Xenopus tropicalis: one gene and its partner. The protein of the gene in region 2 interacts with the protein of the main gene of each other region in a pairwise test. Links are inferred from orthologs where the notes say so. Each region holds a gene or a part of one and is shown on either strand. Other genes may lie near its edges. The genes, in order: prkra and adarb1.

What was found.
Region 1: the proteins of adarb1 (region 2) and prkra interact in binary tests that used the Homo sapiens proteins (3 or more experiments, as listed by UniProt). The link is inferred for Xenopus tropicalis from reciprocal best matches to the Homo sapiens genes ADARB1 and PRKRA.

What each region holds. Positions count from the first base shown.
Region 1 is NC_030685.2:64,075,367-64,079,847, reverse strand, and holds the start of prkra (interferon-inducible double-stranded RNA-dependent protein kinase activator A homolog A), read right to left. Parts: upstream 3,048-4,481; 5' UTR 2,942-3,047; coding exon 2,886-2,941; intron 1,407-2,885; coding exon 1,237-1,406; intron 1-1,236. UniProt on the Homo sapiens protein: Activates EIF2AK2/PKR in the absence of double-stranded RNA (dsRNA), leading to phosphorylation of EIF2S1/EFI2-alpha and inhibition of translation and induction of apoptosis.
Region 2 is NC_030685.2:55,408,457-55,412,274, reverse strand, and holds part of adarb1 (double-stranded RNA-specific editase 1), read right to left. Parts: intron 1,791-3,818; exon of another isoform or gene 1,745-1,790; coding exon 816-1,744; intron 1-815. UniProt on the Homo sapiens protein: Catalyzes the hydrolytic deamination of adenosine to inosine in double-stranded RNA (dsRNA) referred to as A-to-I RNA editing.

The DNA of each region.
Region 1 (4,481 bases), about 8.7 Mb from region 2:
ATAGAAAACTGGCTACAGGATCGGGTACAGAGGGTGGTTGTTAATGGTACATTCTCTACTAGGAGTAAGGTTCTCAGTGGGGTCCCTCAGGGTTCTATACTGGGTCCACTTTTGTTTAATTTGTTCATAAATAACTTAGGGGAGGGTATTATGAGTAATGTATCAGTGTTTGCAGATGACACAAAACTCTGCAGACCAGTCAATTCTATCCAGGATGTGACATCCCTGCAGCAGGATCTTGACCAACTGGCAATCTGGGCAGCTAAGTGGCAGATGAGATTTAATGTGGATAAATGTAAGGTCATGCACCTGGGATGTAAAAATATGCAAGCCCCGTATACCCTTAATGGGACTGCACTAGGCAAATCCATAATGGAGAAAGACCTTGGAGTCCTTGTAGATAATAAACTTGGCTGTAGCAAGCAATGCCAGGCAGCAGCTGCAAGGGCAAACAAGGTTTTGAGCTGTATTAAAAGGGGTATAGATTCACGGATTACAGAGCACTGGTAAGGCCCCATCTAGAATATGCTGTTCAGTTTTGGTCTCCAGTGCTCAAACGGGACATGATTGAGTTAGAGAGGGTCCAGAGAAGGGCAACTAAGTTGGTAAAGGGTATGGAAAGTCTCAGTTATGAAGAAAGACTGGCCAAGTTGGGTCTGTTTACACTGGAGAAGAGGCGCTTAAGAGGTGACATGATAACTATGTATAAATATATAAGGGGATCATATAATAACCTTTCTAATGTTTTATTTACCAGTAGGTCCTTCCAATGGACACAAGGGCACCCACTCCGTTTAGAAGAAGGGAGGTTCCATTGAAATATTCGGAAAGGATTTTTTACTGCGAGAGCTGTGAAGTTGTGGAATTCCCTCCCCGAATCAGTTGTACTGGCTGATACATTATATAGCTTTAAGAAGGGGCTGGATGGATTCTTAGCAAGTGAGGGAATACAGGGTTATGGGAGATAGCTCTTAGTACAAGTTGATCCAGGGACTGGTCCGATTGCCATCTTGGAGTCAGGAAGGAATTTTTTCCCCTCTGCGGCAAATTAGAGAGGCTTCAGATGGGGTTTTTTGCCTTCCTCTGGATCAACTAGTAGTTAGGCAGGTTAGATATAGGCATTATGGTTGAACGTGATGGACGTATGTCTTTTTTCAACCCAACTTACTATGTTACTATGTAAATGGAAAAGGCATAACGTTTCCCACCAATGAAAAGGCCACTTAAAGAACATACCTGAGCTAACTATATCACCAATAACCAACCGAAAAGTGAAACTAGGGTTATGTACTTCTCCTTCTGCTTTTATTAAGGTGTACACGGGAGGGTTACCAGTCTTTGTTCCAAATTCATGCAGCTGCTGAATGGGGGTTTTGCACGGATTGGTTGCAAGCTTTGCTTCCACGCTGAGATAAGAAAGTAGGGTATTAGTGGAGGTATAAGGTACATTTAAGATGCCAATATTCAACCAGCACAGGGAGTCAGATATTAAGCAGAGGGTAAACTGCAGATATTCCATGATTATCAAACTGAAAGCTGAAAAGAGACAGTAGAGGAAAGCAAATAACTCAAAAACTATGGAACATAAAACACGAAGAGCAATTTAAATGTTGCTAAGAGAAGGACATTCTATAATATATTAAAAAGTTAACTTAAAGGGCACCATCATAGTCAAAGTTTTCCCTGCCAGGGGTGTACGCAAATTGAGCCCACACATGTTCCTAGTGACCGCAATGCCACCTGCACTGGGAAGAAGCCACGTTGGGACTCTAAGCATGTGGACAATAAGGTTTGCCACAGTAGTGTGATTAAGAATCAGGGTTGCACACTTGTGCATAACCTAAAAGCCGGCAGACTCACTCATTACATGTCTGACCAAACATGGCTGCCAGCACCAACTTCCTCTGCAGTGTGAGCTCAAGTAGCCTGAACCTCCAGAGGTTTAAGCAGTTTGACTAGAATAGGTACCCGTTCAACGAGCAACTGCCCCTCAGTATTTGCTGCCAGTTTGATTGATCTGGGTAATGTAAGGTCACAACATTTAGGATATTTTATAGTTCATGAAAGTATTGTCATTTTCTATCTGTAGCCTTCTGAACTCTCTGTCATCCAGTCAAGTGCAGTCCTCCATCTGCCCATGGGTAATTTGGACTGATAATACTTGTGCCACCAATCTAAAGAACAGGCTGCACAGGCACTTAATGAGAGAAACCAAATGAAATTGAGCAGCAGTAGAAATCAGTAGCAATGCAGAAATGAAAGCACTGCGAGTAGCCCTGCACTAGAATCACTGGGCACCAGCAACACTTTGCCATTAAGTGACCACAGTGACCCACCTCTTTTCTAATCAATGTCAATTACAAACTGCAAGGATCAACACTCAAAAGATGCATTTGCCACTAACCTAAATGGAAAATAAAGATCAGTGTGACTATGAAGAGTTTCATTCATCCAGGTCATGGTGTATCTAGTATAATTAAATCTAAATTAACTGGACTTGTTAAGTAATCATTGAAGATGTTTCACTACTCATCCGAGCAGCTTCTTTTTCCCATTACACAGGTATAGGAAAAGACCAGTTTGTGTGTTTGTGGGATTCCTCCAGTTTCCTCACACACTCCAAAACATACAGGTAACTGGATCCCAATCAAACTGTCCTTGTGTATGTGTGAATGAAAAAGGGGACCTTGGATTGTAAGCTTGTAATATAAAGTCCTACAATGTACAGATACCCAACACCAAGACAACCATTAAGCAGATTTGGAAGGTTGAAACTATGCCCCACAGACACTGTATGAACTACAACTCCAGCATCACTATATCAAACCTCTAGCGGCAGCTCCCTGACCCCAACCATAGACAAGCTCTAATCTCTCCCCAAGCACCTGGTGGATTTTTCACAGCTCCTTTTGGGCGCGTCTGGAAACCTCTCCTGGGACATAGCAGAGGAATGGGGAGAGCCCTACTCTCCTAGGCTTAGAGCCGCGCAGGGAAGGTTTCTCTATGCGCCGGCTGTAGGCTGCACTTCCGCTTCCGGCCTCCAGCTGCCTGTCAATTTCGCTAGCCGCGGTAAGAACGCATGCGCAATCGTTAAGCGATAGATATAAACTACAATTCCCGAGGAACCGCTTTCGTGAAACTAAAAACAGGATTTAGAGGGAATTGTAGTTATTTATTTATTTATTTTTAGAAAACTACAGGGCGACAGGGGCAGGTGCTTGTTTCCTAGGTTACAGGGAGCGTGGCTTATGCCTAGTAAATCAGCGCGCTGCCTGGAATTGCCTGGGTTTCATTGGCTGCAGCAGAGTGGGCGGGAAATGGCAGCTGGTTCATATCTAGAGCCAGGGAGTACCTGTCTCACAGCGTGGTACGCTCAGTGGGAACGGAGGTCTCTGTTAAGCTAACCCTAATACACTGGCTTCAGGGCGATGGCTCTTCGCGGAGGTGCCTGTTGTTTTATTTGCTGATTTTCAGCGGGCACGGAGAGCAAGAGTAGGCGCGGACTAAAAAACATCAGCTGGGAGACTCCTCCGTTCGCACAGCCCTACCTGCCCCATGTATTGCCGGAGTGCCCCGGGCTTTCCCTGGGAGATGCGCCTGGCGCTCCCCGGTCCGTCCGTATGGGGCCGCGGTCAGCATCATCTGCTGTCGCGAAGAGTTCGTCTCTGTCAGCCCTTGGGAGCCCTGGTGTGGGGGGGACAGTCCGGGTGTGGGGGGGTCGGGAGAATAAAAGGAGGCGCGCTGGTGCGCAGGCGCAGCATGCTTTCCCTGAGCTGTGGGATGTGCGTGTCAGCGAGGCCCCCGACATTCTTCTCTGGGAGCGGGAGGGCTTAGGGGGCTAATACATGCTTCTCTGGGAACGGGAGGGCTAAGGGAGCTAATACATGCTTCTCTGGGAACGGGAGGGCTAAGGGAGCTAATACATGCTTCTCTGGGAGCGGGAGGGCTAAGGGGGCTAATACATGCTTCTCTGGGAACGGGAGGGCTAAGGGAGCTAATACCGTACATGCTTCTCTGGGAACGGGAGGGCTAAGGGAGCTAATACATGCTTCTCTGGGAACGGGAGGGCTAAGGGAGCTAATACATTCTTCTCTGGGAACGGGAGGGCTAAGGGAGCTAATACATGCTTCTCTGGGAACGGGAGGGCTAAGGGAGCTAATACATGCTTCTCTGGGAACGGGAGGGCTAAGGGAGCTAATACATGCTTCTCTGGGAACGGGAGGGCTAAGGGAGCTAATACATGCTTCTCTGGGAGCGGGAGGGCTAAGGGGGCTAATACATGCTTCTCTGGGAACGGGAGGGCTAAGGGGGCTAATACATGCTTCTCTGGGAACGGGAGGGCTAAGGGAGCTAATACATGCTTCTCTGGGAACGGGAGGGCTAAGGGAGCTAATACATGCTTCTCTGGGAACGGGAGGGCTAAGGGAGCTAATACATGCTTCTCTGGGAGCGGGAGGGCTAAGGGAGCTAACACATGCTTC
Region 2 (3,818 bases):
TGAAATTGTGGAAGTTTCCTCTCAAGGCACACATGACAACATAATCGAATACCGCATGAGTTATTAAAATGGATGTTTATTGGACTCTTCCTACCCCCTTTTTCAATGCTGGTTCAATGAATAGGGCTGAACATAAATTTTTTTAATTAGGAAATAAAACATGCCTGCACCCGGGACAATGCAATAGTTCTGGGACAGGCAAGAAAAAAAAGCAGCGAATCCACCAAGCGTGTGGCACTAGCCTTAGAAACAGATATAACAAAAACCATATATATCTCGTAATTAAACCATATATCTCTTGAATAAATGTCTAGTTTCATAGTTAACATACTGCCTAATATGAAAACTGCACTAAGTCTTACATCTAAGCTTACCACACACATCTGTATTAGCCAGGCCTCTCACTTTATTTAAAGGTCCGAAGAACCCCAAAATTAAAATGCGTACACCTGTTACCATCATATAGTCTTTCTGCATCTTCTAGAAAGCAATTTACTTTTACTGCGCAAAGCTTTCTGATCTTATGATATATTTATTATTAAACACTGCACTGAAAACAAGACAAAGCTAAATTAGTTGATATTAATGGAACATATTAAAATGTCTGCAGATATCAGAAAATAAAAAAAAGCAATCAAAAAGTTTCTATACTCCTTTTCCTGCCAGCTCAACAAATTGTACTCACTGGTTTCTATGGGTTACTGCCCCAGGTACCAATTTGCAAAGTGTTGACAAAGGAGTGCGACTTTGGCAAAATGAAAAGTAAAGGAAACAGAAGTAAAAGTAGGGTTAAAGGAAATAAATATTGTTCATACCTGGGGTAAATGTAATTGTAGGCCTTCACTTGGAATAGGCTGTCTGGATGGGGTCTGATCCAAGTGCATGTTAAAAAGCGATGCAAGGGCAGACTGTGCTGCTCTCGCCTTTGCAAGCTTCTTGTTCCTTCCAGATCCTTCAAATGTTTCATTGTCTACAGTTACAGACATCACAAAGTTCTTGGCATGACTTTCACCACTCTCTGAGACAAAGTCGTATTTAAGGCCAGGACGAAGCTCATTTAAAATCATTACAGGATTTTTTCCACTAGCTGGTGGGAACAAAGATGGTGTTGGAAGGGGAGACTGAATAAAATTACTGCTTCCAATCATCGATAAGCTATAGTCATTTGCAGAATTAAAGGATTCATTTCCATTAGAGCCCAAGAAAAAAACATGCTCGGACTGTTCTGGTTTTTCAAATCCATTAAACAGAGTATCTGGAAAGTCCGCTTGGTCAGAGGTAAAATCAGTATTAACAGACAGAGTTCTGCCCATTGCTAGATGAGCTTCTGATGCATTTGGGAATTGCACAAATGACCTTAAAGCCTTCTCGGCAGCATTAAGTTTAGCCTTCTTCTTAGTAGGTCCTGAACCTTCAAAAACTTGCCCATTTACTTCAACAGTCATAATAAAGACAGGTGCATGGACAGGTCCTGTCTGAGAAATAAGTTTGTACTGTAAGCCAGGCTTAATTTCATTCAGTTGCATTAGAGCATTTTTTGGCAACACAGGGCCTGGAATTTTCTTCCTCTTCTTAGGACGGAACTTGGAATGGCCATTGTTGCCTTCTTCTAAAGGCCGTTTTCTGCTGTTGCTTCCCTCACTCCCATTGGAAAGCTGAGCCCCATCCCCGGTGGCTTGGCCACTTCCTTCTTTTGCTGAAGCTCCATCCATGCGATTTTCCTTAACATCGGCGCTGCTTGAACCTGTAGTGCCCAGAAAGAGTAACTTACAACGCCTTCGTCGCAGGATCTTGTAAATGCAAAATTTATAGATTCCTTTATCTACTTTTGTCACTGGTTCAGTGTTGTGTGGTCACAGAATGGTATTACTGCATATCTAAGGTGCACAACAATGTTATGGGGTTTACAATTCAATACCTAAAACACATCCCATAGGTTATTTTTACGTTTACTACCTACAAGTAGTAAAGAGTTTTTATTTATTCCTATTAAAAGGGTGGCGGTTTCTGAGAAAAGTAAATAATTACGGGCAAACATTAAAATAATACTGATCATTATAGATGACTGTCTATATAAACCAATGATTACAAAAAAAGAGGTGTTTTTATTCTAATTTTTCACTACATATTTTATTCTAATTTATATCTCTTTACACAGGCAGTGAAATGGATATCTCAATATCTTACCACACAACACCCAGATATGGATATTTAAAGACAGATAAATTGGGGCTTTTCATTACTTGAGTTATCACAAAGGTTATTCTTCTCAGGAATCTTATATAAACTAAGCAAACACACACCACTTTACCCAGCCAACAAAGTTGATGGAATAATTGCTAAATTTTCATTTATAACATCCTCCAGCAAAAGCTTGATAGGTTACTCTTTTTGGCGCTCAACAGACCAAAAAAAGGCAAACAGTCACTACGGGTTAATGTAAAAGACATTTAAGAGATTACTGGTTAAATACTGGTCAAAAAAAAGGCAGTGAACGCAAAAGAAAAAAAGGAATAAGCATTGTATTTCTTTCCTCACTAATTGTAAAGCAGTGTTCTCCCCAGAAGGCAGTGAGCTGGGCAACTTACACAAAATGCTTCGAGATGCACCCAGATAAAAGGGGCTGAGGAGAACACTGAAACAAGTTTACCAACAGTTAAGAGAATTTAGATGCAATTTAAAAGTGTAATAGGATCTCAACAAAGTGTATACATTTGTTGAAATTTATTACAATGAACTCTATGAGAGATGGCCTTCTTGTAATTCGGAGCTATCTGTAAAATGGTTTTCCAGATAATGGAACCCATACCTCGAAATAACAAAAATTACATTCACTGTGCCAAGCTAAAGAAAATGAAATCCACATCTAAAGTATAGTGAAACTTAAGTTTTTCTTACAAGACTGGTACAGGTATAGGACCCGTTATCCAGAATGTTCACGACTTGGGCTTTTCCGGGATCCTTTTGTAATTTGGATCTTCATAACTTTAGTCTACTAAAAATCATTTAAATATTGAATAAACCCAATAGGATTGTTTTGCTTCCAGTAAGGATTCATTATATCTTAATTGGGATCAAATACAAGGTACTGTTTTATTATTACAGAGAAAAAGGAAACCATTTTTAAAAAATGTGAATTATTTGATTACAAATAATAATATTAGTAATAAGTAATAATAATAATAATAATAAGTAATATTAATAATAACTAATAATAATTACAATGGCGTCTTTGGGAGATGGTCTTTCTGTAATTTGGAACTTTCTGGATAACGAGTTTCCGGATAAGGGATCCCATACCTGTACCATAATTCTGCTGCTAATTTCTACAGAGCAATAGATTCTGTAAATAAATACTATGATAGCTTAATTGCTGAAGCAAAAACAAGTTTTAGTTCTTAGCTGGATGCAGAAATTAAAAAAAAAAAGAACTGTATTCTGTACAGACTGCTGAAACATTTTATAACAAACCGTGCCCAATATATTAACAAAGAAAATAATAGTATTGAAGATGTTGTTTTTTTATCAAAAAGAAGAAATAGAAATGTATGGAAGTTGTATCATGCCATCACACAGAAGAGACTCACCACCCTACACCGGCAGATGCCTTTAACACATTTATTGCAGAGTAAAGTGGCACTAAATCTGTTAAAGGCATCTGCTGGTGTGGGGTGGTATGCTTCCTCCCAATATGAGTCACCACTGGATGGTTTGGCTTGCAAACAGCATGGAAAGTGTAAGCACCCGGTTAAAAACAAGTAAGTTGTTTGCCAAACAGACTATTTTCATCACATAGAAGATCACACTGTAAGTATTAC